Oryzias latipes: one gene and its partners. The protein of the gene in region 3 interacts with the protein of the main gene of each other region in a pairwise test. Links are inferred from orthologs where the notes say so. Each region holds a gene or a part of one and is shown on either strand. Other genes may lie near its edges.

Region 1 (10,138 bases), about 12 Mb from region 3:
ATCTTCATCACTCTCTGTTAGGCTCTTACCGGTGACTCTAGCTGGGTGTCTCAGTGGGCCAGTGTAGCCGCCAGTCATACCAGGATGGACCCAGAAGGTTCTGGAGCAGAGGCAGCAAATTTCATCCACAAAGAGAGGGGTAAATATGCTGAGATTTTGTTTTGGAATTGAGCGAATTCACTTATTTTTCCTTTTGAATTTAAGTCCTAAATATTCTGTCCTTTGTGAAATGACGTTTCCATGTGTTTAGGAACTGAAGCTTTTGAGTCTGGGGCAGCACTCTCCAAAGGTGAATCCTCCTCCAGCCCAACAGACCGTAAATGCAGGACCCTCCCCCAGCTTCCCGTGGATGACCCCCAGGCCAAATCCAGCTCACAGGCTGCAAGATCTGACATAGGGGAGAAGCAGGACACTGAGCCACAGGAGAAAGAGAACAAGGGAGACGGCGAGTCTCCAATTCCCATGAAGGACACTGTAACGATCAGTAAATGCAAACAAAGTCCTGCCTCGTCTCCATCCAAGAGTCCTTTCCGTAGCTCTGGTGGAACAGAAAGAAGGAAGAGATCAGAGGAGAGGGATGGAGGAGGAGAAGAAGAAGGAGAGAAGTGTGGGAAACCTCTTGTCCGTCAGGGCAGCTTTACGATTGAGAAGCCCAGTTCTAGCGTCAACGTAGAGCTCATTCCTCGCATAAACAGAGGCACGAGTGGCCGCGAGCGCAGTGACTCTGTGGGTAGCATGGACACTGCAACACTGCTGAAGGACACTGAAGCTGTCATGGCATTTCTAGAGGCTAAACTGAGGGATGAGAACAAACTGAGCCAGAAAAGTACCAAAGTTGGTGTTAATACTCAGGCTTCTGGACTCCCTTCTCGGACTGACTGCATCTCACCTGAATCAGACGTGGACACGGCCAGCACAGCCAGTCACGCCGCTGGAGAAGCAGAGGGTAAAGCAGCAGCTGGTGGGGTGCAGAAACGGCGCTCTCTGAGCAGCATGCACCGCGAGAAGAGCAACATGAGCACTTCATCCAGGACCAGCACCTTAAATGCAAGTGCTCGCGAACGCTTGGAGAGGAAATCAAAAAGCCGAACAGCTGAAGCAACATCCCGAACTGATGCCCGTCGCTCTACTCAGACATCCACAGCTTCCTGCAGAGCACAGCAACCATCTCTAGATCTCACTGATGATGATCAGACCTCTTCCTTTCCCATTTCTGATGTCCTCTCTTCAGATCAGGAAACCTATTCTGGACCTTTGGGGCACTCAGCACTCAGGCGTGGTTCTGAAGATGTTCTCTATTCTAAAACCGATAGCAGGACTGGAAAAACTTTGGTAAGTAGTTCCTCCAAAACCAACCGGACTGTTCAGGCAGCCACAACCTCCTCCCTGAATAAGCAGGCCTCACTGCCTCAGCCACGGCCCACAAGGGCCTCCCTCCTTCGCCGCGCTCGGCTTGGCGATACATCTGACACAGATCTAGCCGATGCAGACAGGGTTTCCGTGGCATCTGAGGTGTCCACCACCAGCTCTACCTCTAAACCACCAAGCGGTCGGAAGGGACTGTCTCGACTAGACATGCTGGCTCAGCCGCGAAGAACCCGTCTTGGCTCTATCTCAGCCCGAAGCGACTCTGAATGCACAACAACGCGAAGCTCCACCTCTTCAGCACGGCTGTCCACTGAGACCGCTCTGCGCCTCGGCTTGCGTTCATCAGCGCCTACAGAGAACAGACTGACACCCAGAATGAGAGCTAACAGTGTTTCCAAACTGAATGAGACCAAGACTAAAACCACTACAGCGGGATACTGCTCACCCACAGGTGAGAACATCCCCGTCACATTTCCTTCTTAGAAACGTAGAAAGAAAGCATAAATGTTTAGTGTATTGTGTCTGTGCATAAAGCTCCACACTATGTTGTGATTGGTTCTCATCATCTAGAGAGCTCTCAGCCTGAAACTGCAGGTGCTGATGCAGAGGAAGAGCTGATGGGTACTGTACCTGAACTATAGACTTGAGAGATGCTTGTGTGCAGGTTCATTTGGCGTGAGTGTGTTCATGCTTGGCGTGTGTGTGTGTGTGTGTGTGTGTGTGTGTGTGTTTGCACGTGGAGACGTCAGACCTGGGTCACAGCACTGGAAAGCTACCCATCTTAGTTTATATTATAATATTATATGATGCAGCATTAGTGGGGCTGGGTTAAAATAGCTAAATTCCTCTATGATTGGAATCTGATTTATTTGGATACGATTCCATCTAAAACTGATTCCATATGGATTTTTTTGAGTCTTCTCATAACTAGTGCTTTGGACTGAACAAACGTGTTCCTGGCAATTAAAAAATGGTACCTACAATAAAAAATGAGCAGTAAAGCCGTTTTCTGTTACAAGGCATCACATTAGAGGAAAATTGAGCCATAGATTTCATGAATCCATGTCACATCCTTTGAGTTAGGATCTCTTTGAATTGATAAAATCAGATGAGCTTTTAAAACCCAGCCCTGGAATGACATCAAAACATTTTCATGACGGAAAGCTGAGCTGCGATGACCCAGCTCTAACATGTGTGGCCCTAACTTTGAATCCCTGCTTTTTCATTGATTGAAGAACACTATAATGACCCAAACGCGCTGCTCGTGTTTTCACCTTTACAACAGCAGAGCATACGTAGTTTTGTCTCATCAACAGGAGAAGTGGTAGTATTTTGTTTAGACCTTTTTCTGTGCTTTCATGTATTTTTTAGGCTGTACAGACAGAGAGCTTTCAGCAACTCCAGTGCAATGCTTTCTATGCTGCTGTTTTAATGTGATTTGATCATTGCTTTCCATTCATTAACACAAACCTAACACAAGTTCAGTGTGTTAGTTCTTCCTTAGGTTTTTGTTTGGTAGGAGAGTTCCAGAACATCCCATGACTGTTAACAACTTCATTTATATTATAAGTTTGAAGAAAACAAAGTAAATCCCATTAACTTTAAAAGGCTGCTTAAAGTTTAGATTCACATCATCGATTTTGCAACCTTCTGATAATGAAGGTTAAACATACAGTCACTGATTCTAGTTCTTCCACTTTTTAAAGATGAAAGGAGTCTGTAATGTTCATCATAGATACACAACTGTGACAGATAGAATGTAAAAAAAAAAAACAAATCTCACGGAATGATTTTTAAAGAATGTTTTATGTGATAAAAATAAGTATTTAACTTCTACAAAGAGCAAGAACTCTGTCCTCACAGACCTGTTCCATCGTTAAGAAACTCTTCTATCCTCCACTTGTATTAATGGCTCCTGTTTAAACACCTGGATTCTTTCTCTACATTCTGTCTGTCACACAATCTAAAATGAACTAAACAGGCCTCTCATATTTTTAAATGGGTCACTTTGCAGAATCAATGACTGCCCCGCTGTATGGCTGCAGGCTGCCTAGGTTGCAAAGCCTCACATTTATTACTATTTGTGGAGTTTGTTGTAATGTTTGCTCAAATTTTTGCTGTCCTTCTTTGATGGGACAGTGTCCAGCAGCAGTCGGTGGAGGCGCTTGCCCCCGGAGTACGGCTCCACCTCTGAGGAAGAGTTTGGGTCCAGCAGAAATTCCCCCAAGCACGGAGCTCGATCCCACGCACGGCCCCATCACCTGGTCCCTCATCGCAGCTCCAGACTCGGCTCCACCACCAGCTCGGGCGCAGGGGTGTCTGCAACAAGTGGAGCGGGGATCAAGTACCGCATGAAGGAGCAGGAGGAGTACATCAGGGACTGGACAGCACACAGCGAGGAAATAGCCAGGTATGGATCCCTTAATCCATCATTTTCAGTGCATGTGTGTGTGTAGTTGTCTTGAGTCTAAAATACTTTATCTGATGGTTAACAGGTTATTCCCCTGTGTGCGCAGGATCAGCCAGGACTTGGCTAAAGACTTGGCTGTCCTGGCCCGGGAGATCCATGATGTGGCAGGCGAGATTGACTCGGTCAGCTCGTCTGGCACGGCACCCAGCACCACTGTCAGCACGGCTGCCACCACGCCAGGATCGGCCATCGACACCCGGGAAGAGGTAGGCCCAGCACGTCCTGTGCAGCCGGACATACAGGAGAGCATGAAGAAGGTGCCCAATTTTTCTTCTTCTATCACGGCCTCATTGCGTGTGCTTCACCTCAACTCCATCATTCCTCTATAACTGCTTGGGATAAACAAAAATGTTCCTCTCTGCTGCTTCAAAGTTTTTATTTGCTGTGAGTTATTCATCTATTACACTCTCATTTGGTACGCTGTCATGTTTTAAGTTAGTAACCAAGGTTTTTAGCATTGTTGGCTTTACATTTTACATTTAACCTTGCTTTACAGTCACTCTGTCCTTTTACATCCCTCTGGCATGAATGCATGTGTTGTTTAATTCTCTTCCTTTCTTTTCTATATCTTTTTGTCTTCAACCAGTTGGTGGATCGAGTATTTGATGAGAGTCTGAACTTCAGGAAGATCCCTCCTGTTATTTCCACCAAGAAGGCGCCAGAGATTAACGGTAAACCAGTGGAGCACCGGCCGCAAGCTCCTAACAGTGCAGAGCCCCGGGCCTTAAGGAGACGCACCTGGAATCGAGAAGAGGTGAGGCAACAAATCCATGAGAGTGCTTAGACTGTCACAAACACCATTGAAGACGTCATTTCTCTCTCCCTGGTTGTGTTCAGGCGGTGTTGGACAGCTTACTCATACATTCAGTTTCTCAGCTCTCAACCAAGATCAGAAACTCTGTTGACAAAACAGCAGGAAAGATCAGGTGATTACAGTCTGTAGTTTTTTTGTATCTAAAAGTCATTTCAAAAGCCCATAAACTCTCATTGGGATTCGTTATTTTAAAAGAAATGCATCTGTAAATCTGGTTCTGTTGTGTTTTCTTGCTCCAGGATTTTGTTCAAGGATAAGGACAGAAACTGGGAAGAAATTGAGAGTAAGCTGAAATCAGAAAGTGATGTACCTCTTCTTAAAACCTCAAACAAGGTATTGAACCCTGAACAATTCTTGACTAGACATCTTAAATTTAACAAATCCTAAATTTTCTCTTAGGTTAATCTTTTTGTCACTTTTTCCCCTCATTTCGTCAGGAAATCTCCTCAATTTTCCTTGAGCTGAAAAGAGTAGAGAAACAACTTCAAGGTAAGCAGAGGACTCCCTAATATGCATACATTAGCTGATATTCTTAGTTCACTGAGGGGGTATTCAAGATTGGGCACTTTTGGTTCACTTAACCCTTGTGCTATCTTAGATGACCCCACCCTTACATTGACCTGTTCTCCCTACCATGACAAAGGTGGATAAAGGTGGAAAGATTTCATGTAATCCATGGACGCCAGAGAAGATCACAAATAATTGAAGAAAAAAGGTTCAGAGCACTGTCTAGTGGGTCTAGATGACCCAACTCCCAATGTTAAAGTGCCTAGGATAGCACAAGAGTTAAAGTGAACCAGAGTATGTTTTCCCCGAGAACTCGGAACAAATTTTCAGGCTGAATACACCCAACCGGACCCTGGTCCAGGACCAGGAACCAATCTCTGATCCGTCTTTGGAGGTGGTCTCGGTTCGTTTCGAATCGGACTGAGCTTCGGTTCGCTCTGAGATTCCTCAGTCTGAATGCAATCCGTTCTTGGAGCGGAAGAACAGAATCAAAATGCCACAGTAGCCGACGTAAACAGAGTAGGAATGAAGCAACAGATGAGCTGCAGAAAAATATAAAGGTACGATTGTCGTGTTATCAAACGGAAAAAAAGGCCAAATGTTTATTTGTCAGAACATTTATTTATGTGTTTTACCTGCCGTTCACGTGAAAAGTTTATTGAGAACTAAAGGACAAGGACGTCTGAATGCACCGTTTATGTGAGGCATTTCACACAAATGAGGATTAAAGCTAAAGTTTCCTGATCTTCTCCATGTCACGTCTCAGTGATCGATGTGATGGTAGATCCAGACGGAACTTTGGACGCTCTGGCAAGCCTCGGCCTGACCACCCCGACTACTCCAACTAGACCGACATCCGCTAAAACGTCCCCCACCAGCCCGGGATCGGCCCCTCCAGCCAAAGAGTCACTGCCGGAAATCCCCTCTGGAGCTCGGGGTTCAGCAGCCTCCTCCAAGAGCCAGACTTCTTCTACCAGCATAGAAATGAACGCACAAGGCGTCTGTGTGGGTTTGGGCTTAGCAGGAGTTGGAGGACTACCCTTTAGCCGCATGCGACCAAGCGGGGAGGAGGCTATCGCACAGAAATGAGCAGCACCTTTTCAAGAACATAAGCAACTATTAACAGGTCTGAAAAAAGTGAAGGTGCTCAGTTATCAAATGCTTAAAAAACATAATTTTTTTAAATAAACACAGCGGCCATTCTGACAGTTTTATTATACAAGCATAGTTACTTCTTGTCACTCTCCAATACATGACTGTTTATTGTGCATATCAGCAACAGAGGCTGACCCATAGGTTCTAACAGACTAACTATAACATTTGACTTTTTTATGCCTGCTATAAAACCTGTCATCCTGGTTGACTGAAGCCTTTCAGTACTGTCCTTTCCTTCTTTTTGCCTTCTTCATGTGTCTGGACCCTTCCTGCACTAAGGACATGCCTTAAGAAAAATTGTAGCAGCTGAATTTCCTGACCCCCCCCACCTCATGCAAGAGTCTAAAACAATACAGTCTAATATATTTTCCTTTACACATCAATAAACGACAGCCCACTGCAATAATTTATGCGCCGCAAAGAATGTTCTATCAGAATCACCCTGACGAAAGTATACATGCTTTAAGCCCGAATTGTTTGTGTTTTCTTTGTTTTGTTTTGTAATGTATCCTCAACTTTCCTCTCAAACCCCTTATGAGTTTTATTTAACGGTCATGTTTCCTTCCTTGTAGAGGAGATCTCGCCTGCAGTAGCATGTACAGGATACAAGGATGCATTTCACAATGTCCACCAGAAACGCTGCTTTTATTTATTAGCAGGTGAAACAGTGACAATACCTTACTAAAGTGAACTCGTTACCAGTCATTTCAGCTGTTTAGTCATCTAGAAAATGTGATTTGGAGCCAAAAAATTATACAGCATGAGATGTTTTATTATAACTATCAGTTAGTTATAATAACTATTTTATTATAACTAAAGTGAAAAAGGATGTTTGTATTTAATTTTTTTGTTTTTGCTTTAAAACCTTCACATAAGTGTTTCTTTTAGTTCTTAATGGAATGATTTTAAAGTCAGACGCATAGCTTCCATTTTATTGTGTCAAACTAAATGTTTAATAAGAAAAAGACCATTTCTAAACTTTTTAGGGATTTGGTTTAGCAAATTTGTATTTTTTTGTACACATAAATGGAAAAAAAACTGCTAGAGTTCCTTTTTATAAAGGTGCCATTAAAAAACAGCAGCCTACAAAAAGATTTATTGATTAAAACTTGTTCTTTTTTATTTTTTTCTGCCCTCTGCTTTATAAATGTCTCATGAGATGCAAAGTCATATCAGTGTAAATACTAAAAAGCTTCTTCTTTTCCAGTCAGGAGGAAGCTCCAATTTCCTTTTCCTGTACTCACAGGCTGCAAAACTAACCATTTCTTCTCTAACTTGGCTGCCTACATTATGTCTAAATGGAGACTGATCATTTTCTTAACCTCTCCTCTGAAGTCTGTGTCTAGACTAGAGTAAAACTACGTAAAGATTGTGTGTTTGTGTCTAGAGATTTTCACAGTAGTGTATTTAGGTACCAGAGTTAGTGTTCATTTCCTTCTCATTCAACGTTACTGTAGACTGATTTGTCTTTTGCCTCAAAGTGCCCATGTTCACTCTGTAAGGGCATTATTCTTGAAAAGAAGGTTGACACAAAAATGTTGCACATCAAGCTGGAGTGTTTTTACATCCAGATTAGGAGAAAATGAAGGAAAAGGCTGCATCAGTTGACGATATCGCCTGATTTCAGACGTGACCATCTTGCCTCTTTGAATTTATTCTGTCAATGAAGCCTCTAAATATTTTTGTCTCAATTACGTTATAAGACAAGCCAATAGGGGAGTGTGAATGCGAGGTACATGTTTCTTTTTATGTTTCATCAGATCAGTGTTGTCATTTATTTTGTTTTTTCTTCCTATTTTTGTAAAGAAATTTACTGTTTTATTTATTTTGTTTTGTGGATGTTTACTGCATTTTATATTTGAATATCCACATTATTGGTAATAAAATGAGCCATTCAGTTGTCTTTGTTGTCATGTGAAAAGAATTTGCATCATTTTGTTTGCATTGCAAACATGCCTGAGTGCTTAGTATCCATACAGGACCCTTAAAATAAACGTACATTTTAATTATTAAGATTTGCAAATTAATATTTGCTAAAACCCAACTTGTGTTTTATTTTGTCTAATAGAAGTGGGTAAAATAAGCAGTCCCTTAAGTCTTAACATATTACACAGATTCAGCAATTCTGGAACCTTTTGTTTCAAACAAAAGTAGCCAAAGGATGCAAAATAATGAGATTTTTTTTCATTGAAAGATCTACCATCAAATGCACTTTAGTTTCAAATGTATCCAAAAGAACTTAGATTTTAATAGCATAAATGCATTTACTGATTATTACTTTATTTAAACTCCTAAATGACATGAAGAAAGATGAAAGACAAGTTAAAGTCTGTTGTTGAAAACTTTATTAACAAATGAACAGATTCATGTTTGTTTCATGTGGTTTCACCAAATCAACTGTTTAAAGTTTAGAAGTACAGGACACCAAACAACAGACTTTGACATGACTACGTGGTCTGCAAAGGAAGAGGAAGGTTAGCCTGGGGGCCATCCCATCATGCGTCCACCCAGGACATGGATGTGGACGTGGTAGACGGATTGGCCTCCATCGGGCCCATCGTTGATGACAATCCTGTAGCCTTTAGTCAGACCTGCGTCCTTAGCACACTTCTTTGCAACTATCAACATGTGGCCCAACAACTGAAAAGAGAAGTAAATAACAAGAGAACACGTGAAGATTCCGACCTTTAAATAGACCTCTGATCTCAGATTAAGTAGCTCCCTCTAGTGGCCACTGACAGAAACATGCGATGAAGCTCAAAGGAAGAACATGCAGTCAGACTTACTGCAGCATCGTCCTCCTCGGCTACAGACAGCTGAACTATTGGCTTTTTCGGAACTACCAGGATGTGAGTGGGAGCTTGAGGAGAGATGTCAGGAAAGGCCACACACTGAAAGACAGGAGACACAAACAGATCTGTAAGGATTCTGAGTTGTGATGCATGAGGACACTTGCTTTATTTCTTCCGAGACAGGACTTCAAAATAAAAGTCATGTGGTGACATTTATTTGGCTAAATAATGATCACAGTAAAAACCAGAGACATATGGGCATAACCAGTGTCAATGTGGATTTTCTTTTGTCGTCACGTGTCAGTCATAGCTGCCAAACAAAGTGTAACTTCAACACCGGTTAATGATCAGATCAGTACATGCACGGTGACACCCATGACAATTCCCTAATTACCCCCAAAACAAAGTTTTACATTTATTTTATTCTTTGATTTTAAAGTAAATATATTTGAGAGGTTTTTCAAGTATGGTTTCCGAACTAAACTTTATTTCCTTAGTGACAGATTCCTGCAAGAATTGATTGTGAAAGTGAGCAGGCAGTTTCTGCAGAGGAGCAGGACGAAGCTAGTGGAGACTACGCTGCACGTGTGGCTAATAAAACGCGCACGGATGTGATCAATGTCATGCGCACCTGATCGTCCTCATAGAGTAGGTTCACAGGAATCTCTTTGCGCACAATTTTTCCAAATATTGTGTCTCCACCCGGACGGGCGGTCTGTGCCTTCTCCGTTTCGTCAGCCATCTTGGCGCAGTGGAGTCCAGGCCGCGCAGACGCAGTAGAGTCAGTGGGCTGTGGTATAAGGCTGGACGCTGATTGGTTAGAAGTGTACGTCATTTGAACGTGCCTACTGATTGGCCGGTTGTTGAACCTCCGGAAGTACAAGTCAAGATGGGGACTCGTTTGAAGGTGAGGAGTATTTCTTTATGTTTAACGTGAGCATTTTTGTAACATCACTATGTCTAAAATATTTTTAGATTTGAATAGAGTATAAACATATATTTGTTGTTGGATGCTGGTAATACATGTTGTTA
Region 2 (11,073 bases), on a different chromosome or scaffold from region 3:
TACGTTGTGTCTGTTGTTCGTTTGCGGTCTGTCTGTGGTGTGTCTGCGGTGCGTCTGCAGTGCGTCTACGTTGTGTCTGCAATCTGTCTGTGTTGTGTCTGCCATCTGTCTGCAGGTGCGTCTGCAGTGCGTCTACGTTGTGTCTGTGGTTCGTCTGCGGTCTGTCTGTGGTGTGTCTGCGGTGCGTCTGCAGTGCGTCTACGTTGTGTCTGCAATCTGTCTGTGTCATTTGGTACCGGGCCGCAGAGAAAGAATAAAATAACTTACATGAAAGATGTTTTATTTTGAAAAATTGCCAGATTCTCTGTTCCATCCGTCTATGTCACCATTAACGCAGGCCAAGGCGCTCTTCTTGATCATGTGATAGGATACCGCTAAAATAAAACCCAGGAACTAGCAAAATGAGTAAAAAAGAAACGTCTATGGAAAGTTTCTTTGCCAAGTGGAAAAGGCCATCCAGGAGACAGAAGAGGAAAAACAGAAAGCTACATTTAATAGACAGTACTTCCTTTTTGCACCATGAGTGAGGGAAGGGGAGAGAATGATAAGACCTGTGTGATGTACAATGTCATACGTATCAAAATAAAAGCTCAGAGTTTCTCCTGTCACGTCTCTGTTCCTCCTTCGTTGTAGTGTTGCTATATTACTCATCAGCCTCCATTTGACAGACCGGTCCGTGAAAACTTTGTGTGACGTCATCACGGTCCGTGGCGTTACAAAGGGTGGGGACCACTGATATATGACAGACAACATGTATTTTACAATAATCCAGTTAGGAAGGACAGGGCGTGTAGTTTGATCGTTTAAGTGATGGATGAGTAAAGACGGGGGGACGCACCACCTGTCATGGGGGTGACAGGACAAACCACTCCTCAAACATCACTAGGAAGCTACTTAAGGAAAAAAATTAGCTTCAAAATAGTAGATTTTAAATGGAGTTGATGTGGTGGCCTTCTCCTGTTTGTACATTTTGAACCAGAATATTGTGACTTTTTAACCCATAAATCCTGGCTCGAACTGACCGGTGCTCTGATCGGGTGTCTGTTGGGGCAGACAGTTGGGGGGGGTCATGCCTGCGGGGGGTCATGCCTGCGGAACATACAACGCCGCTTGCAGCTTTATTTGTAAAGTTAAATGCTAAGTTAGCTAAAAATAGACAAACAAAAAGACCTTCAAAGCGTGACTGGACAGCTACAGCCCATAGAAACAGACTGATGAGAATGTGAAGGCAGAAGAAGGTACAGGTCTGCACCATCTATGGGATGTTTTCCTCTCAGTAAAGTGGATAGTTCTACCTATCCTTTGCACCATGGTTCTGGTAAAAACAGTAGACAGTCCATGTCCATCCTCTGTCAGGACAGGAAAACTGTCCCACCTTCCACTGCGCCAGCACCTTCCTGCTGCTGTCTGGCTGCTTCTGCACTCTCTCCTTGTTGGTGGCGTCCACTAGAACGTTGCAGGTGGTTTCTGCCTCTGCCAGCCAGTTGAGGAACTTCTCCAGGTCCAGGAAGAACTGCTGCAGCAGCTTGAGGGCGGCCTCCACGGCCGCGTCCCTGTCTGAAACCCTGCATGGACATGTGGTGGTTAGCGCACACGTCTTCTACAGGAAAGGAACTGAACACTGGGAGCAGCAGCCTTCACCGCTTGTTGATGTGGGACCACGTCGCCATCATGCCGTCGTTGACCTGGCTGACCTTGTGGGTGTCATCGTTGGAGTAGAGAGTCAGCAGTTTGTTGGCCAGAGCGGTGCTCTCCATCACCTGCTCCTGCCACAGTTTCAGGTCTTTGATGAAGACCTGGAGAGACGGATGTGATGGTGACTGTTGACGACTCGCTGAACCTCAATAAACCGAGAAGCTTCACAACGCCTGCTCTGAAGGGCTCACAGAGACCCCCCCCAGGATTCTGTCTTCACTTTCAGGTTGACGCACTAACCAGCCACGTCTCCTACTGTCACAGGAAGCAGGCCACCCACCTTCAGGTCTCCGTGCTGCCTCCTCAGAGTGTCCACGCTGTACGTGATCTCCTGCCACGATTCCAGCCGCTCACTGGCCTTCTTGGTGAGGTGATCCACATCCTTCCTGCTGTTCAGCCAGTTGGTGGAGTCCTGCAGCATGTTGAGAAGCTGCTTCACCCGCTCTGACACTTTGGTCTGAGAGTCTTCCCAGTGGGTCTGGAGTCTGTCGACTGTGATGGCAGAGAGAACCACCTCTGTAGATCACCTTCATCTGACTCCATGTGTTTGTACAACCATACTATTGATCTACTGATGCTATTGCATTTATTGTCGTTTTTAATTCACCATCCATCCATCCATCACCTGGAGAACCCAAAGCCCGTCCAACCCCGTACAGGAGCATGTGACCAAGGCTTCCAGGGATCTCCTAAATGTGTAACAGGTGTGTCTGTACGTGTGTGTTTAGCTCCTCTGTTCATGAGGATGAAGGACAAAAAGGAGTCCAGTTGTGTGTCATGACTCACTGCGCTCAGTGATGGCAGTACGCGTGTCCGGGTTGTTGATTTTGTTCTTCAGGTTTTGTGCTGCTGTGACCTGTTTCTCCAGCAGGGGGCGCTGCTGCTCCAGCTCCTGCAGAGATGTCTGGAAAAATGGAAGCAGTTTGAACTCTTTTAGCTTCAGGCTCAGCTGCTCATCATCAGACGGAGACCCTGACCTTGAGCTGGTGGACGTTGTCATGGATGTCCTCCAGGTCGGCCACCACCACACGTTTGTTCCGCACCATGTTGTCCAGCATGGTCAGCCAGTCTGTAAGCTCCGCCCACGACTTGTTGAACTGAGCCAGAGCTGCAGCCTCAGGCTGTGAACTCCCACTTAGACCTTCAACTGGACACAAACAAGCGCCATGGAGACGACTCCGTTGAGTCGTTCGGTCTGAAGTCTATTATTAGATTTGTACATAAACGACCACAAACTCGTCATAATTACATACGAACATCACGTCTGAGTTCAGCATGTCTAGAACCAAAATGAAGCTTCACAACTGATATTATCATGGCCAGTTAAGGTCAGAGGTCAGGGTTAGCTCTATGGTTGTAGTAATGGTGGTGTACGTATGTGAACAGGTTAGGGGTCAGAGGTCAGGGTTAGCTCTTTGGTTGTAGTAATGGCGGTGTACCTATGTGAACGGGTTAGGGGTCAGAGTTCAGGGTTAGCTCTATGGTTGTAGTAATGGTGGTGTACGTATGTGAACAGGTTAGGGGTCAGAGGTCAGGGTTAGCTCTTTGGTTGTAGTAATGGCGGTGTACCTATGTGAACGGGTTAGGGGTCAGAGGTCAGAGGTCAGGGTTAGCTCCTTGGGTGTTCCAATGGTCCCCGTGTGAACGTTGCACTGAGAGAAAGGATCTTACTGGCTGTTTTGGCTTGAAGCTGATTGGCCGTCCTCTGTCTGTGCTGCAGCAGCAGCTCCAGAATGACCGTCCAGTCTTCTCTCAGCTTCACGAACTTCAGCTGGTAACAAACACACACTTATTACTGCACACAGACACTCATTTGTGCTGTTATAACACAGAGTTATCCTGTTTATTGTAAGAATTCTTTTCTAATATTAACCAGCGATACGGGAAAATGGTCAAAGTATTTTTCTTTATCTTTTACAAAACTTCTAGAGGTTTTAGGCCGTAAAACTCCTCACTACACACTTTACACATTTTCTCACACTTTTGTTTGAACTGTCAAAGCCCAAATGAAAACAAGGATCTGATTAAAGTAAATGTGACAAACTGAAGGGATTCTGTACAGGAGACACGGCACACAGGAAGTTGATTGCCAACAGCCAATCAGAACTCCACGTGAAGTAAGACAAAAAAATCCAACATTGCACAGAAAAATATGGGAAACAGCCAAAAAAAACGTGATATGTTTTAAGCTAGGCTCACACCGCCGTCAGCAAGGTGCTTCACGCCACCACTTCCATAAGTCCATGGAAACGTGTGCATTCAAAACTGTTCACACGTCGCTACACAAGTTTCTACGGCCATTTCCAGGATCTATAAACAAACACACACACGTCCATTGAACACATTTTGAAGGTAAAAGCAGCTGAACTTTGACCAGTTGATGTTGGGACCAGGAATGGGGACATTAGAGGGAACTGAGATGGTTGGGACATGTCCAGAGGAGAGACTGAAGGATGCTGAGTCTAGAGGAAGACCAGAGAGGAGGATTCTTCTCTAAAGAAGACATGAAGGTAGCTGCTGGTAGAGGATACAGGAGACAGACGGAGGAAGCTGATTGGCTGTGGAGACGCCTCAAGGGAAACGCCCACAGGAACAATAGAGTCCTATCTGACAACCTGTTTCTTCCACGTCACCTCCTGATCTTTTCAGACCTCCTCACCTTTTCTGTCTGGGTATCTGGAACCTCCTTTAAGACCCGGTCCGCTCTCTCCAGAACCGAATCCACTTCTGGCTGCTTCACCTGCACCTCCTCCATCACCTGTTGCAGCAGACACAAGGTGGTGACAGCGAAGCAGACTGTGCTGTCTTTCAGAAAATGGATTGAGTGTCCCACCCTGGGCGGGGGCTCCTCTGGACTCTGCTCCAGCCGAGCTCGGGTGTTCACCGCCCAGGCAGACAGGTCCTCCAGACGGCCACGCAGCTTCATCAGGTCCCGGAGAAGAGCCTCGATCTCCTGCTGGCGTTCAGGCAGAGCCCTGGACACCTAGAGGAAGATCAGCTCAGAGGCAGCTCACACAGTGGGGGCTGAAAGGGGATTGGGGGGAGCAGGTTCTGCTCAGGTTCTGTGGAAGTGTCTCCGGCTGACCTGAGACCAGCGCGTGTTGATCATCTTGATGTCTCTGAGCTTCTCGGCGGGAACAGAGGTTTGCCTGGAGTTCAGATCCTTCACGGCTGCTTCCTTCTCAGGAAGTTGCTCTACATGAAACTGGAACACACACACACACACACCCACACACCCACCCACACACCCACCCACACACCACCCACACACACACACACACCTGTCAGCACAGGTCTGGGCATCAGTCAGGAGGAGGTGCAAACACAGGACGGTACCTGGACTTTGTCCAGCGTGTCTCGGATGTGCTGGGGTTCTGCCGGTTGGAGGGGGATCTTCAGGACTGTTTCAGCTTGGTCCAGCCAGCCCGACATGGATCCCATGTCCTCCTGCACTTGTGCAGCCGCGGTCCGAGCCTCTGCAGACCTGCAGGATGAAGGAGAACCTCAGCACTGGTTCTGTTCTGAAGCTTCTCCATCATCTGACGTCTCTAGAGAAGGTCATGGGGGAGGGGCCGCTCTAAACGGTGGGCTTCCCCAAAAACTCTACACTGATCAAAACCAACTTTCTTCCACGACTGCTTGAACGTACCCACTGAACACGAGGAGGCTGCACAGAATCAACCAGAGAAGAAGTAGAACCAATCAGAAGACACACCTTCTGCGGTGCTCCTGGAGCTGTTGGCAGACGGCGGTCCAGCAGGCGTTCAGCAGATTCAGCTGCGTTTTCAGCTGCAGAGCGTCCTCTGGGGTGCTCAGGGGGCAGATCTCCTCTCCAGCAGAGTTTATTCTGAAAATCACCCTCTCCTGAAGGGGCAGGGCATCTGTCAGCGCCTACACACAGGTGGAGGGGGGGGGGGGCAGAGAAGACCAGCACATGGATGAGATCCAATGCATAGATGACCGGTCTGGAATAATCCTGTGTGTCACAAGATCACTAAGCTGTCATCAGTGTGTCCCCACGTCATCACCTGAACATTATGAACCATAGATAGACAGATAGACAGACAGACAGGCAGGCAGACAGACAGACAGACAGACAGACAGACAGACAGACAGACAGACGGACAGACAGACAGACAGACGGACGGACGGACGGACGGACGGACGGACAGACAGACAGACAGACAGACAGACGGACGGACGGACGGACGGACGGACGGACGGACAGACAGACGGACGGACGGACGGACGGACGGACGGACGGACGGACGGACGGACAGACAGACAGACAGACAGACGGACGGACGGACAGACAGACAGACAGACAGACAGACAGACAGACAGACAGGCAGGCAGACAGACAGACAGACAGACAGACAGACAGACAGACAGACAGACGGACGGACAGACGGACGGACGGACGGACGGACGGACGGACGGACGGACGGACAGACAGACAGACAGACAGACAGACAGACAGACGGACGGACGGACGGACAGACAGACAGACAGACAGACAGACAGACAGACAGACAGGCAGGCAGACAGACAGACAGACAGACAGACAGACGGACAGATAGATCGATAGATAGAAAGGAAGAACAGGTTTAGTGCACAGGACACAAAGACACTAAAGAGCTGCCCCATATGGACAAAAACTGGAACTTTGGTCATTTTCCAATGAGAATGTATTTCTACTGTCGTGTCTACTTGAGGTGTAAATCCAGGACTGTTTAGTCAATCCAAATGTGTACATGACTGTGTACTTCCACATGTACCTGTGTGTATGCATGAATCAGGACAGCTGTCTGACATGTCTACACACAGTGTAAATGTGTATTTTCACATGCAGGACATGTCTGTTTATGGTACACGTGTGCACACATGAGCGTTGACTTGTTTGTGTCTTCTTGTTGTGTACTCGTGGTGTAGTCACCCGAAGTCTCTGCCTCTGGGCTTCTGGCTGAGTCTCTGCCAGCTCCAGAGCGGCTTTTGCATCAGCAAGCCACGCCTCCATGGCCTTCTGGTCTGACACAAACTTCTGCCACTTGGAGTTGCATTCCTGCCAGCGCCTGGACACACACACACACACACACACACACAAACGGTTGCTGGTAAAACTGCTCTGTTTGTCCGTCATTCAGTCCCTTCGGCCTCCTCACCGGAGTCGGTCCTGGTGCTGCTTGAGGATTTTGTCCCAGTTGCTGCTCAGGAGGCCCGCCGTCTCCCGGATCCTCTGAGCCTCCAGAGGACGGGCGCCCACCACCACCTCCTCCCTACGGGCCAGGGCCGCCTCAACCGGCCCTCGGAGCACAGCGATGTTTTCTCCAACCTCCTGCAGAGACATGGAGCTGGAGAACTGAGAGGAACCAGTGACTGATTGGACCAGAACCACAATTATCTGTGGTTTGACGTGCAGACAGTGTCAAATGTTGTGGTCAACAGCAAAGGTGTGGGTCCGTCCCGTTCTGACCTTCAGACACTGCTCCTGCTGACTCAGCCTGTAAAAGGCAGCCGGCCAGAACTCTGGAGAGTTCAGCTGGAAGTCCGTCTCTGACAGCGACCGCAGCAGAGTCTGCAGCTCTGCCACATAGTCCTGCAAACACAGAGCAGAGCTCAGAACGGAAACAGACATGTTTGCTCACGCTGGAGATAGTCAGAGCCGATCCAGATCTGATCTGAACTCCACAACAAAGAACAGCAAAGTTCTGCTTTTCTGGAGGAAAAACCAAAACCAGGAGACGTGGATGAAGCTGATAAATGTCAGAAGAATGTGCATTTAGGAGGACAAACGTTGATGATCCACGTCTAGACATGCAGCCTCTCTAAGGTTCTCACTCAGGCTGCATGGGGGGGCAAATATTTCTGTTCAAAGGATGAAACCAAGAGCTGAATTTGGAAAAAAACAACTGTTTGTGTGTCTTCATTTATCAAGCAGTGTGTGAGCTGCTGACAGAACATGAGAGACTGTGTGTGCACAATATTTCAGTTCCTGTTGGAAGGAACGTATTTTTGGTTCCCAACAGCGCCCCCTCATGCAGAGCAGGGGTACTGCAGATGGAGACGTCACCGCTGAAGGTTCTTGTGGATCATCTTCACATTTTCAGATCATGGAGGTCAACAGACAGACGTGGTTCCAAATGCAAACATGTCAGGAGATGAAAGTAGAAAAGTGTTTCTGTACCATCAGACAGTCCTGCACTGTTTTAGAAATACATCTACTGACCGGCCCCACAAGATCGTAGTTCAGTTTATTTCTGAACCACGGTCACAGACATGAACCTTCAGGAACCGTCATGAAACACTATAGACTGTAGAGTAGATGGAGCGTCATGGTCCTTTATGGAACCTCAGGAACCATCAGGAACCCTCATGGAACATTATGGATGTCTGAGAATCATGGAGCCCCAGTGGAGTGTTAGGCCAGTAAAACCCCACGTAGGTTTTAGGGGTGTCACTTTCAGGGGTGCTAAGCCCCAAAATATATCAAATCTGTCAATTCTCCACATAACTCACTGACACTTCTATAGAGGCCAGGTTTTTCTGTTCGTTTTACATAGTCCTTTGAATGGGATGGGTCAGACCTCTGCATAGATGGGGTAACAGAAACACACCACTGGACCTTGAAGAACCACGGTGGAGCCTCATGTACATATACAGCCATTTACCATGGAGCATCAGTAATCTAATGAAGTGTTTAGAGCCACATTTAACAGGAAAGTGTGGAGGATGGATCTCTAGCCTGGAATTTAAGGATAGATTTTAAAGCCTTAGTTTAGTTAAAGAATCTCAAGTAATTCCTGTTTTTTTAGATCTTTTTTGTGAACTGGCTCCTCATAAAATAAAAAAATAAAAACGAGTCCAAACTCAGATTTGGATTAAAAAGAACTAAATTAGTTAAATTGAGTTGCTCAGATTTTCATTTTTTCAAACGTTCACATGTCCCCCCCCCCATCTGTGTTTATTTATTTATCTTTGCTTGTCTCTAATGTTTTTACTTTACTTATGTTTCTTTTTTTCATTTTATTCGTCTAGTTTTCTTATGTTATTGTTGTCCTGTGAAACTTTAACCTCAGTTTTACAGAAGACAAGTTTATGTTTAAAAAGGAGGATTTTACTATAAAACGGACTTTTTTAAAATGAAGACAATTCAAGGGAAAAATCTGAAATGTTTGGGAACCACGTCTGCCCGCCGCCCCCCAGGACGACCCCAGAGATTCAGGACTCTGATCCAAAATGACTTCTGGGCTTTTACCAATGATCCTGTTCCATGGAGCTGGTGTCACTACTTTGTTATGAGTCACTGTAACTATTAGTCATGCGTGATGAAGGGTGTGACCTGCTTTATTAACCCATTTACCAGAAAAACCCAGGAACCAGTGGATGAAAGTCCCACTAATGAAACAGCAGTGATGATGACACCAATGAACTATGCACCATGACAGGACAAGGGTGGAAGACACCAATGTCCTGGTCCATGGTCCATAGGTCACAGTCCCATGTTCAGAACTCAGCAGCTCTGGTAAACCCATCTGACTGTGGGCGGGGCTTCTGACCAGACCACCATAGCTTTAAGTTTATTGACAGGGACAAACCCTCGAGGTTAGCTAGCAGCTGTTATCGTTAGCCGTTCTCGGGGGTTTTATCTGCACACACGGTGCCTTCAGGGACTCACACTTCGTCTTCTGAAGGGACCAATGGCACCCTCCACTTCCTGCCAGCGCGTGTTCAGCTGCAGCTGGCGAGGTTCCACCAGGCCGGCAGCTCCGGCCTCTGACAGCTGATTGGCTAAGTCCTGCACCGCCTTAAGCTCCTCCTTCTTCACGTCCAACTCTGAGACAATTTCCTATTGGACAAAATCAACCAGGAAGGTCACTCGCTATTAGCTGGGGCCTGGGGGGTGGGGGTCAAGCACGAAGAAGCACATGGATATGCTGGAAGACACACCTACATGGATTCATACTTATTAGTGACCGCTTCACCAGCACACAACACGAATGTTAGGGGGAGGAGTCATGTTTGTGAGAGTAAGACAAAAACAATCCCAAAGAGTCAGATTTCAACACTGAAGGTTTATTCACAGCCAGGACACACACACGTATGCACAGACACACACAGCATGTGAACATCTGTGCTGCGACAGGTGAGTCTGAGGAAGCAGGTGAGTGTCTTAGTGGCTTAGCGAAATGTCATAGTAATCATCTGAAAGTGAAAGACACACAGAGTCAGAGACGAGTCAAAGTCCACTTTTCCTGTTTAACAGAACCAATGGAAACGCCGGGCAGAGAGATGGACACCATTGATACACCTGTACCATCCAGGTAACTGACCCGGTACGGGTGTACACACCTGCATTACCCAGGTAAGTGAGAAAGTACGGGTGTATTATGGTGTCCATAACACACCTGTACCATCCAGGTAAGTGAGACAGGATGATCCAGGAATGAATGTTCCAGATTGAACCATTGACTATATCAGAGAACTGGACTGTGTGACATCATCCATGAAAATGTGTTTATTCCAGCTCCAACAAAATGAAGTCAACCCAGTCGTCTTTTTTTAATGAAATGTTTGACGCCATGTTGGGAGTCAGATGTCGTCAGTAAGCAGTGATTGATCTGAGTTGACGTCTCTATGGCAACCACTCTCAGCAATGAGGTGTGAGCTTATTGGAAGCCACACTCCTATTATCTGTCAAACATTTTGAACATTGGATTTGGTGGCCAGCAGGCTCCACCTACTTTTATTGAGACACCTGGTTGGTCAGTTTATGACTTGAAGAATTTGAACTGCAGAAAAAAATCATGAAAAATAAAGACAATTATCAAGATGACAAAAAAAAAGGTGTGAATGTGTGTGTGACTGTAAAGCGCTTTGTCCTTGTAGGTAGAAAAGCGCTATACAAGTATACGCCAATTACCATTTAGAATGGTTTATTCTGACAGGTAGATTGACCAAGTAACAGCTGTGTATTTCTTTGTAGAAGTCTATATGTGTACTTCCTGTTTGGAAGCCAGGGGGCGGGGCCACACTGTCCAGTTTTCAGATAAACAGTCAATAGACAGAACTGAGGCGACTTTGTGCCAATACATTTAGACAATTATAACATTCATTTAATGTAAAATCAGAAATTCCTCTATTACTTTTTTATTTCCTTTGTCAAACTAGGCTGTAGATGAATATTGAAAAAGGCTGTAGATGATATTTGATGATCAAATCCAGCAACAACTTTGGTTCCTGAAACTCCAGAACAGCTTTCATCAAATGCTGTGAAACAGGAAAAGTAGAGGAACCAACCAGTTCCAGACGGATGGCACATAAAAGCATCATGAAGAACAAAACCGAAGCAGGAAAGACTTCAATGTTTCACCTTGACGC
Region 3 (11,073 bases):
TATTTTTTGAAGTATCAGCAAAAGTACTTTTTCGGATTTCCTTGGCAACTGAAGTTTTTGGTTAACCACGCCCACATTCCTCATATATTCGTAAGGTATTAAATATTGTTTCGTTCAGCTTTAGCCAATGACCATTTGTCTAAAATCTTTAGAATATTTCGGTAAAAAATATGCGATCAACAGGGGAACGCCAAATTTGTGACCTCGCCACGCTAACACAAACTTTAAAACCAACATTTTTTCCCCCGTGAAGCTTCCCGATGACGCTCAAGGAGTTGGGAGGTGATGGCTGCTTGTTTGTTCCAGCTTCTTGAAGAAATTTGCTATTACTTGACTGAAATGCTTTTTTCTTACTGTCTTTTATTAAACTCTCCTTTCATTGCAGATCCAGCGTTTCCCGCCCGTGAGCTCACTCTTCATCTTCCTCCTGTCGCGGAGCTTAACGCCTAATCTCTGTATCAACAGGTGGCAGAGCGTTGGCGACAGCTGGCAGCTCTGGGCGAAAGAGGCATCACCGAAAGCCAGGCTACATGAGAGGAGAGCAGTCCAGGCTGCTGAGCTCTGCAGGTACCGAGGAGGAAGAGGAGGAGGAGGAGGAGGAGGAGGAAGAGGCGATAAGCGGCTGCTTTGGGAATGGAAACTGTGGATGCAGCACCGCCGTCACCCATGGCCCTCCAGCTCAAAGACTGAGTCCAGCTCCTGCTTTAATGGTTAATAAACCAACGGGTTTGAGGAGTGAGGGCGTCCTCGGCCCGGCTGCAGACATCCATCCTGCTCCAGCAACATCCAACCATCTGGGTCTGACCTCAGAGCCTCATGATGAGCTCAGCTTAAGGCTGAGGCCGGCTCCCCAGACCTCAGCAGAAGACTCTTTCACGTCCAGTTTCAGTTTCATTCAGCAATCGCTCAGCTCCAGTCAGAGGACCGGTTCTTCAGCTGCACCACTACAGGAACCAGAACCACCTACCAAAGCCCCCGAAGGACCACAACCCAAACCTGACTCCCAGCAGAACTTCTTAAAGCTCTCGCTTCCTGTCCACTCTTCACCCGGCCACGCACAGAAGGAGGACCTGCCGTCAGGAGGGAGGCTCTGGCGGGAAAGTCAGTGTTACGGTAAAGAGGAGACCTCCCACCTTCTGGACTGCGAGCCCCGTCCTCTGGACGTGGAGGTCACCTCCTCGCTGTCGGTGGATTCAGACACGGCCTCAGCCTCCTCTTTCACCTCCGGTTACGAGAGCGCCACAGCGGGCTTGGAGTCGGGCTGGGACGGCGTGGTGAAGAAGTACGAGGGCGTGCTGCAGGCCTGCCTCCGAAACAACCGCGCCTACACAAAGGTGGGCATAGCGGATCCTCTTGAGGGGGGCAGAGACTTCAAACACATTCACTTTAAAGTGCTGTCATTGCTGAGGGAGAACTCATGTTCTGTAGACTGTTTCAGATCATTAAATCAAATAAATCATGGCGCTAAAGTGCGCTAAAGAGAAAAAGCAATTACATTTAAAGCCGCGAGTGGTGTAGTATGGTTTAGCCCTCCCTCATTGGCTGAGTGGCTGCTACAAGCCCCTCCCTCTCCTTTCATGCCTCTGCCAGCCTAGTCAAACTTGCATGTGAGAAGAAGAAAAAAGCACTTTTTTTCAAAAATGGCGGCTTTTCTATTTGTTTCATCTCCATAGCAACCATTTAGTTATTTGATCGTCCGGGGGGGAGGAACAGGTCGATGTGCATTTTAGAAGGATCGCTAAAAGTAAATTTTTGGGTTTCCTTGGCAACAGAGGTATTTTGTTAGCCACGCCCACATTCCTGATATGTTTGTATCGTATGTCATATAGTTTTGTTCAGCTCAGCGAAAACTTTTCTTCAAAGATGCAGTAAATAGGAAAAATTGCAGAAACAATCTGGTCCTTCAGTCCAGAACGGCTGTGGGACGCAGATAGTTAAAGTTTTGAATCTTTCGGTCCGTGATGGCTCAGGTCAGATGGATGTGAAGGTCATGACAACATTTAGAAACAACCACCTTAAATATCTTGTTCAAAGCTAAGCCCGACAGGAAATGGAATGATGAGCAACAAAGGTCATGGTCTGGCTTTCAAAATAAAACACAAACGTTTATAAAATTAAAGGTTTGGACCATTTGTCATTAATTAAACACATTTAAGTTATTTTCAAAATCTGTGTTAAAAACTGGAAGAAAGTTAAAAAAAAAATCACACTTTTGATTTAAAAAAAAAGAGAATGGAGCAGAGCATAAAGTTATGTTCATAAGTTAAAATCTCCAAAAGCAGCAGAACTTTCTGACAGAATGACGGTCATTGTACTTGTCCCGTTCCCTGTGGGCGGCGTCCTGTGGGCTGATGTCTCCGTCTCTTCTCTCCGCCTCAGATCGAGTCCATGATGTTGAAGCTGCAGAGGCTCCAGCAGAAAGCCGTTCTGGACGACGACTACGACGCAGGTGAACGCCAAACACAACGTTTTAACCCTCTGAATCAAGCGTTTTATGAGGAACGTTTTGCTTGCATGCCATTATTTCACCATTGCGTGTGTTTATAGATTTTCCCATTAAAGTTGTCGGAGTGGAAGGAAGTGTTTGCAGAGCGATTATGACAGAAATCCCAGCTGTCAAAGGACCGTCAAGATTCAAACATTCATCTGTTTAACACTCGTGATCTTTGGGCTCTACTGCGTTATTTAACAACATGGCACAATCCAAACATGTTACATATGATAAAAGACCTGCAGCTAAAAACGGTTTTTGAACCAACCTCACTGAGGCTTGCAGGCGTTTGTTTGAACGGGTCGTCTGAGGCCACGTGTCACTCCGGGTCAGGTCAGGACTGTGACTGGGTCAGAGCAACACTTTGATCCGGAGCGCTGTCATGATCCACTTCCAGCCAAACATCAGTCTCTAAATGGTTTTTGTTTACAATAAAATGGAGGGGTCATGTGGTTTGCCCATGTTATAAAACTTCCTCCACTGTGCTTAATAACACTTTATGTCAGGGGTTTTCCTAAAATGAAGTTTTGGATTTTTCTAAATGTTTATGTGGATTATGACCAAATGTCTCTGCACCTTTAAAAACCCACATTTATCTAAATTCTCTTCAAGATAAAAGCCTTTGGCTGTAAATTTCAAAGCGTGGTTCTGTGGCTGGACAGAACCTGCTGGAACCAGCCGGCTGTCTTGATGCTTTTAGCAAGTAAATAATTGTAAAAATAGAAAACTACAGATGAGCAAATATGAAAACATTTGATCCGACTTTGGTTGTTGGTCATACAAACCTGGATTTTATTGTTAATTCTGCAGGGATGGTTCTGGTTTACAGAAACAACTGTTGCATTATGGGAATTCTTTTCATAATTAAATGAAAACAAATAGCATTTCTGCAATAGACAAAGGCTTATTCTCTTTAGAGAGCAAAAAACATGTTAGCAAATGCTTTGTTGTTTTCTGCCTAACATCTTTATACATATATAGACATAATATATAGATATATTTCCATATTCTTATTATTTTTGTGATGAAACTGTTTCTTTAAACTAGTTTCTAAACCTGTTAAAGCCAAATGTTCAACTTGACAAATGACAAGAAGAAGCAAAGTCCAGAAAAAGACGCTTGGTTCAGGACCCCCGTTTGGCCCCCATGTTTGTCGGGGACAGGCAGAGAGCCGTTTATTTTCAGAGGAGGATGCACTTCTGACCCATTTCATGGGTCTTGTGACAGAAATAACATTGCATGCATTTGCTGCAACTATTCCTCAGTTTTTACTGTCGAACAAACATGTTTCTGAGCGAAAGGTTCATCTAAATGTAAAAACGGCTTTCTAAAACATTAAAACGTTTATTTTTCTTCTTTGATCTTCTTTATAAAAGGACAGATGATCAAAATTCTGGTTTTAGTCAGTTTTAGTCATTTTTGAGAGCCAATAAATGCAGGCCTCATAAGATTTCATTGTCCGGTTGCACGGACTGTTTCGACTTCAAAAGTTGCAAATGTCGAGTTGACGTGTTGTTTGCTGCTTGTGTGATTTTAGCGGAGCGATTTGGGAAAAAGCTGGAGGAGCTGTGCAGTGAGCGTGCAGCACTGAAGCTGGGCTTACCTTCCAGACAACCCAGTGTGTCCTTGTTCCTGGAGAGGCTCCGCCTGGCGGTTCACAGCGCCCTCCAGAGGACGGACGCTGCGCAGAGCAGGTCAGCTGCAGGAAACAAAGAGAAAGACATCGACTGATTAAAATCTGAATTTCAGACATTTTATCAGACTAAAGCTGCTGTCTGAATAAGTCCAACCTTCGCTACAGTTTGGGGTTCAAATCCCAGCAGGAACTCTCATGTTATTTAGTTTAATTTATAAAAAGGTCCGATAAAAAATGTGTTTTTGAAATTTTGACATGTTCTTGTAGCATTTTTCTGATGATGTACAACATATAAAAAGAAAATGAATCTTAAATGGCGTTTTTAAGTTATTTTTTAATTCAAGTTTTTAAAATTGTGGAGCAGAAGAAGTGTCGTTTGAGTAGCATGCGACTTGTCTATACGTCTTTCTTTGGGTGACAGTAAAGGGGGCGGGGTTGCTCCACAGCAACAGTTCCGCCCACAACTAAGCTTGAATTTCTGATGAACTCCTGCCGCTCTGCAGAAACTATGTCCTAGTAAACAACACAAGTCTTTAGATGTTATGCTAAAAACGTCAAAATCATCATGAAAGACCACTGGGAACAATTTAAAAATAGATCAGAGGAGGATCATAGTGGGACTTTGAGGCGTTAACCTGCCATTGTTAGTTCTGTTTGGCTGTTGTTAAGATGATTTAGCACAAAGATGTGAGGAAAAGCTTTCAGAAATAGATCTGCAGACAGGAAGGATGTCAGGGGCAGCCAGATAGAAGAAAAGAAAACACAAATGATTGAATGAGTTTAAAATAATCCTCTCCACACACACTTTTGTTTTTTAAGTGGTACTCTATTGTCTTAAGAGGCAAAACGTGTTGAGATTGTACAGAAGTTCAGAAAAAAACTGGATCCAAATGTAGAATGTTGACACACTTTACTCATTTTTAGAAAAAAAAAGTCGATTTTCAGCTGTAGTTGGGCCAATCAAAGAGACCTGGCGTGTTTATTGGTGCTTCTGTTTCAATGACCAGAGAAAAATCAACAAAATCAATCTAAGTTTTCATAACAAAAAGTGCAAGTGACTCAAAAATAATCAAGCCTGAATGAAATGTCGTGCCGGCCTGTCCTCTGCATTGAATGTTCTCCTGTTTTCAGGGAGGAGCCTAACGTGGGGGAGGAGTCAGACCCTCAGCAGAGCACAATGCTGCGCAGAGACCGACTGATTCAGGAGAAACGGCAGGTGGAGGTAAAGATCACGACTACAATGAGCAGTTAAAGCTGCGAGTGGCGTTGGACGCACCTCGCCACCCCCTTATTACCCTGAAGCGGCTGCTTCACGCCCCTCACTTTACCCCTCTGCCCCTGCCAGCCTGGTCAGAGCTGCATGCGACAAAGTCATGAATGAAATGGCAGCCTTTCTGTTGGTTTTATCTCCATAGCAACCATTCAATTTTTTAGGCACCTGGTGGTGACGAACAAGTCTACGCCATTTTTAGAAGAATCGACAAAAGTAAAGTTTGGGATTTCCATGGCAACAGAGGTTTTTGTTAACCACGCCCACATTCCCAGTATGGTCATATTGTATGTCGTATCGTTTTGTTCAGTCTAGGCCAAGGATTTTGTTGATTACATTTTCACAATATTACGGTAAAGATTGTGCGAGTAACAGAGCAACAAGAAGTTCTCTTCAATGATACTTGAGAAGTTACGGGCCGATAAATGTAGGGGTCACAGGGGCGTTTTTGGAATAACTCAGACTCCTCCTGAGGTCAAAAGTTAAAAAAAATAGTAGAGTTAACCTGGGGATGGCGTGAAATTTTGTGAAGATTTTTATTTTTACCCAAACTGTAGAAACATGCGAAAATCGCCCACAAATTGGTGCCAAGCTGGCCATCCCATAATAGTTTCAAAACTGAGCCCCGACACGTTTGTTTTGGTTTCATCCGTAAAATCTGAAATATTTATTTTGAGCCCCGAAAGACATTTTGGCCCCATTCTTTTTTTTTTTTAATGGTTTCTCCTGCTGTGATGTCATACTTTTTAGGGGGGGTCACTATGCCCTTAATTGATTTTCAGCGGGTTTAGGCGTGAGAAAACGCTAGGGGGGGTTTTGCAGATTGTCATACACGGATTGATTCGTTTTGTTCAACAAAGCCGTGGAACAAAGTGAAGGAAAAAAGGGTTTGAACCTCCGATGTGACACCAGGGGGAAATGGCCGAGCTGCAGCGGACGCTGGAGGAGCTGAAGGACAGGAGGCGCCGTCTGGAGCAGCAGATCCGGCAGGAGGAGCAGCAGGCGGAGGACGAGGAGCTGCAGGGCTGCGTGCTGAGGAGCTGCACGCCGCCCCAGCTCAGAGACATGAGCAGGACGCTGCAGGACCTCGTCACGTCCGAAAGCCGCGCGCAGATCTGCCTCTCCACGCCACCCTCCACCCTCAGGTCAGAGTCACGTTCCTCCTCCTCCTCCTCCTTTTGCATGAATGCTGCATTCAATAAGGTGGGGGCTGGAGATGTTTGTAAAATGACTTTTGTTTGATTGTTGAAGCTTTATTAACACCAGAGGCTGCGCTCATTATACGGAAAACCCAAAATGTTTCAAGTTTGACTCAAAAGTCAAAGTAAAGACTTGAACTTGAGGAAGGGGGCGGGGCTTAAGGGTAACTACCTCCTTTTCTAATTAAATGTAAAAAAAAACAAATTCCCTAACACAAATTCAGCTTCTTAACTTATTTCTGTAAACAAATGTGAATATAGAAATATTCCACAAGGATTTCTTCTAAAAAAAAAGTTTGCAACATTTTGCATAATAACAGAAAAGCTTGTTTAGCTTATTTAAAGAAGCTTTTACTTTTTTATTTTTATTTTTAGAAAAATGTATTTCCTTCCATCTCATTATTGTCTGTACAGTGAAGATGCTCAGGTTTACTAAATGTATCTCTACTCTAAGGAACTGCAGCTTAAACCAGCAAAATTAGGAAGATGTTTTATTTCTATTCTACATTTCTATAATAAATTTCCTAATAAATCCAGACTCATTCCACGAGAAAAACTCCAGTTTGACTTGAAAACTGAAATGTTTTATTTTGACCAGGGCGGCAGCGATGAATCAAGAAATCAATGATCGAATTGGATTGTTCCGATGAACCAATATCCACCATGAATCGTTTCCTCAACTAGAAATTATGATTTTAATCTTATCGTTAAATTTTGGGATGAGTCCAACGATCAGAAACATTTTTTCATCTCAAATATGAATTTTCTTTTATTATTGATCATTATTTCTTCATGTGGTTACAGTCATTTTTATGTTAAATTCACTATGGAAGCTCTCTGAACATTATAATAACATTTGTTCTAACATCTGTTAGATGTTAACATCTGTTCTAATGAGAGCATTACAAACACAAAGTTGACGATGAAAATCATTTTTTGACCTAAATGTAAAGCACACCAGCCCTTTTACTGAAACAATAGTTTAATTGCTTTCAAAAACTATATGATATATCTTATGATTATTTAAAATAAATAATATTTCAGGGGTTAAATCAATCATAAGCTTAGCTTAGAGACTTTTGATTGAATTCAATGATAATTATTAAGCTATTTGAATAGTTCAACATCCAAACTAGTTAAATGTCAACCTGACACATTTTCATACCTCGGTTACACTAAAACATATTTTAGGGGAACAATGTTTGCACAAATAGCCGTTGCTTCGTGTACGGAACACTTATTTGGCTGGAGTTCTTTAAATTATTAAATTAAAAAAATAAAATAAACAAGAGGATCACAAAAGTAACTTTAAATCACATTTTTTGACTCTTTAAAATACTTTTGGTACTCCTAATGAAGTACTTTGAGAGGCTAATCCTCCCGCACATCAGGGACCACCTTCCCACAGACTTGGACCCCCACCATTTCGCATACTGCAAGAACAGATCCACAGAGGACGCTGTAGCCGTGGCTGTCCACTCCACGCTGAACCACCTGGAGCAGCAGCAGAGCTACGTCCGGATGCTCTTCGTGGATTACAGTTCCGCCTTCAACACAATAATCCCGGACAGACTCTGCGATAAACTGCTCACTCTTGCCCCCCCTCACATGCAATTGGATTAACAACTTCCTCACAAACCGATCCCAGACTGTGAGCCCCCACCTCCACTCCACCCGCACACTGAGCATCGGCGCCCCACAGGGCTGTGTGCCGAGCCCCCTGCTGTACTGCCTCTACATTCATGACTGCAGTCCAGCCCACGACAACAACAGCATCGCCAAGTTTGCTGACGACACCACGGTGGTCGGACTCATCCCCAGGGGGGACGAGTCTGAGACAACCTGGTCCTCAGACAACAACCTCACCCTGAACACCAGCAAAACCAGGGAGATCATCGTCGACTTCAGGAAGCATGGCGCGGACCCAGCCCCCCTCACTATTAACGGGGAGCACGTGGAGAGGGTCCACACCTTTAAGTTCCTCAGCATCACCATCTCTGCCGACCTCTCCTGGACAGCCAACACCACTGCCATCACGAAGAAGGCTCAGCAGCGTCTGCACTTCCTGAGGGTCCTCAGGAAGAACAACATCAGCACCAACCTGCTGCTGACCTTCTACCATCATCCATCCAGATCTGCTTACTTTCTGCATAACAGTTTGGTTCTGCAGCTGCACAGTCACGGATAAGGAGAGACTGCAGAGAGTCGTGGAGACGGCTCAGAAGATCATAGCCCCCCCCCACCTGACGGACATCTACTCCGCGCGCTGCATCACTAGGACTCACAACATCATCAAGGACAGTTCACACCCCGGCTCAGACCTGTTCCACCTGCTGCCCTCTGGGAGGCGCTACAGAGGCATCAGAAGCACAACAAAGACTCAAAAACAGCTTCTTTCCAAAGGCAATAACCAAAATGCACAGATAAAATCCATACTTCTGTCCACTTACTCTGTCCACAGCATCAACACTCTACCTCATTGCTACCTCTTGCACATCTGACATGTTTACACACAAATTTTGCACACTAATTTTGGACATTCTTCTTTACAGTTTATATTTGTACACTTGTATTTACTGATCTGTTTGTTTGATAATACATTTCGTTGTTCCTTGCTATTCTTGCACTGTAATGGTGATGCTTCAATCTCATTGTACAACGGACAACGACAATAAAGCAAATCTAATCTAAAGTAAACTTTCATTAAGGTCATGAGGGACAAATAGGTGTTGTCTAATGATAAAACATAGTTATTAGATTGAATTATCTTTTCCAAAAGGTATTTATATTACTGTGTTAAAGTCTTATTTTATTAAAGTTATGACGGCTTCTGATTTTAACAACCATGTTTTCAGTGGAGCATGAAGTAAGTAGAGCAAAAGGTGAAATACCTTTAGTCACCAGGTGGGGGTGCTATAGAGCTGTGATCGCCTAAGAGCGTTGAAGTTGAAGAGAGGATATTTGAGTTAGAAGGATGCAGTAGCGGTTTTAGGCACGGGCCATACGGGCGATCGCCCGGGGCGGAAAAATGACGGAGGGGCGGCGCCAGCGGCTCAGCTCTTGTAAAATACTTTATGCATCACTATTGGTTTACTTATATCACAGAGTTTGTAACAGCCTGAAACCTGGCGGAGCCCCCGCCCCGCAGCTGCGCTCTCTCCTGTCTTTGAGAAGTAGACGCAAATGTGTGTGAGAAGGAGAAGGGAGGGGGCGCGGGGTGAAGAAGGAGAAGGGAGGGGGCGCGGGGTGAAGGGTGCAGGCTGAGCTGAGCACGGAGCACAAAACGCATGCGCAAACCTGGCTGGATCTTCTTCCAGGGGGGCAAAGGTCGCGGGCCGCGGCTCAGTGCTTGATGAAAAAATAAAAATAAAAATTGCGCCGCCATGTAGCGAATTGGCGCCCCTGGGTGCAGCTGCACGCGCTCCTGCTGGAAATGTTTGACGAACGGGAGGGGGGGGCTGCGGGTATAAAAAAAGTATAAAAAAATCATGCTTTTTTGGTTATTTCAAATAAAAAATGGGAAAACAAAAAAAAATTCTTCACTTAGATGACAGTTGGTTTAGTCGACAGACTTGATACCTATGTCAGGACATTTATGCTAAATGCAAAAACATCTGAAATATGGAGAAAAAAGGTCAAAGCTGATGCCCAATTTAGAAAGAAAAGAGAAGAAGAGGAGAAAAGAGACAAAGAAAAGGGTATTATCGCATAGCTAGATGCACGTTTTCTAAATTCGAATGCTACCTGCCCAACAACAACAACAACAACGTTGCAGATGAAAAATCTCTTGTTTGGTCTATCATGACCAAAACTGAAGTAGGCCCAAATATTGCAAATAACGTCATTTTTAAGATATTTATTCTTAAATGTTTGCTCTGCCTTAACTTGTAACATTAGTTATGATTCGTGTGTCTGTCTGCTCTGCTGTAACACAAAGTTTTTGTTGTGTTTTATTGTTGTATATTAGTTCATAATGTTAAATAAGCTGTGATGGTAGAATGCTGCTGCTGCTGCTGCTGCTGCTGCTGCTGCTTCTGCTGCTGCTGCTTCTGCTGCTGTTAGCTTTTCAAAACTCCAGTTGATCAAGTCATACCTGAGATCACCAATGTCTCAGGAGCAACTCACTAACCTGCTGTTGTTAGTATCAATCATTCAGGGGGGGAGCAGATTTCATATGATGACGTTATTGACAAGCTTGCATCAGGAAGGCCACAAAGGTTAGGTTTTAGTTAGTGTTTTCTGTTCTTAGTGCCTCAGTTACATTTATTCTAGTGTGTTATTAGTGTGATTTGTAGTTTATAATATTTATTTTAGATTATTTATTTGTGTTTGATTAAATATTTCCCACTGTATTTTCAGTTACAATAAATGGACAAAGTGACTCTATTGGGGGGGGGGGGGGGGGGGGGGCGCCAGAGGAGGGTCTCGCCCGGGGAGTAATTCAGGGTAGAACCGCCACTGGAAGGATGTTCCTTTG

Evidence for each region. The genes of interacting proteins can lie anywhere in the genome.
Region 1: the proteins of disc1 (region 3) and cep170 interact in binary tests that used the Homo sapiens proteins (3 or more experiments, as listed by UniProt). The link is inferred for Oryzias latipes from reciprocal best matches to the Homo sapiens genes DISC1 and CEP170.
Region 2: the proteins of disc1 (region 3) and dmd interact in a two-hybrid assay, tested with the Homo sapiens proteins (2 studies listed by BioGRID and IntAct). The link is inferred for Oryzias latipes from reciprocal best matches to the Homo sapiens genes DISC1 and DMD.

Annotation. Positions count from the first base shown.
Region 1 is NC_019873.2:16,486,650-16,496,787, reverse strand, and holds the end of cep170 (centrosomal protein of 170 kDa), read left to right. Parts: intron 1-21; coding exon 22-139; intron 140-250; coding exon 251-1,819; intron 1,820-1,938; coding exon 1,939-1,989; intron 1,990-3,507; coding exon 3,508-3,778; intron 3,779-3,863; coding exon 3,864-4,095; intron 4,096-4,424; coding exon 4,425-4,592; intron 4,593-4,675; coding exon 4,676-4,764; intron 4,765-4,891; coding exon 4,892-4,985; intron 4,986-5,089; coding exon 5,090-5,141; intron 5,142-5,925; coding exon 5,926-6,248; 3' UTR 6,249-8,217; downstream 8,218-10,138. Other genes in the region: hint1 (histidine triad nucleotide-binding protein 1), read right to left, coding at 8,790-8,954, 9,101-9,205, 9,738-9,848; complex III assembly factor LYRM7, read left to right, coding at 9,996-10,013.
Region 2 is NC_019860.2:190,262-201,334, reverse strand, and holds part of dmd (dystrophin), read right to left. Parts: coding exon 11,066-11,073; intron 9,542-11,065; coding exon 9,371-9,541; intron 7,292-9,370; coding exon 7,169-7,291; intron 7,031-7,168; coding exon 6,858-7,030; intron 6,768-6,857; coding exon 6,632-6,767; intron 5,587-6,631; coding exon 5,411-5,586; intron 5,180-5,410; coding exon 5,032-5,179; intron 4,901-5,031; coding exon 4,781-4,900; intron 4,679-4,780; coding exon 4,529-4,678; intron 4,454-4,528; coding exon 4,355-4,453; intron 3,467-4,354; coding exon 3,367-3,466; intron 2,843-3,366; coding exon 2,673-2,842; intron 2,600-2,672; coding exon 2,482-2,599; intron 2,188-2,481; coding exon 1,976-2,187; intron 1,797-1,975; coding exon 1,642-1,796; intron 1,566-1,641; coding exon 1,376-1,565; intron 1-1,375. UniProt on the Homo sapiens protein: Anchors the extracellular matrix to the cytoskeleton via F-actin. Ligand for dystroglycan.
Region 3 is NC_019873.2:28,418,856-28,429,928, forward strand, and holds part of disc1 (disrupted in schizophrenia 1 protein), read left to right. Parts: intron 1-465; coding exon 466-1,334; intron 1,335-2,379; coding exon 2,380-2,449; intron 2,450-4,028; coding exon 4,029-4,185; exon of another isoform or gene 4,186-4,190; intron 4,191-5,258; coding exon 5,259-5,349; intron 5,350-6,309; coding exon 6,310-6,542; intron 6,543-11,073. UniProt on the Homo sapiens protein: Involved in the regulation of multiple aspects of embryonic and adult neurogenesis. Required for neural progenitor proliferation in the ventrical/subventrical zone during embryonic brain development and in the adult dentate gyrus of the hippocampus.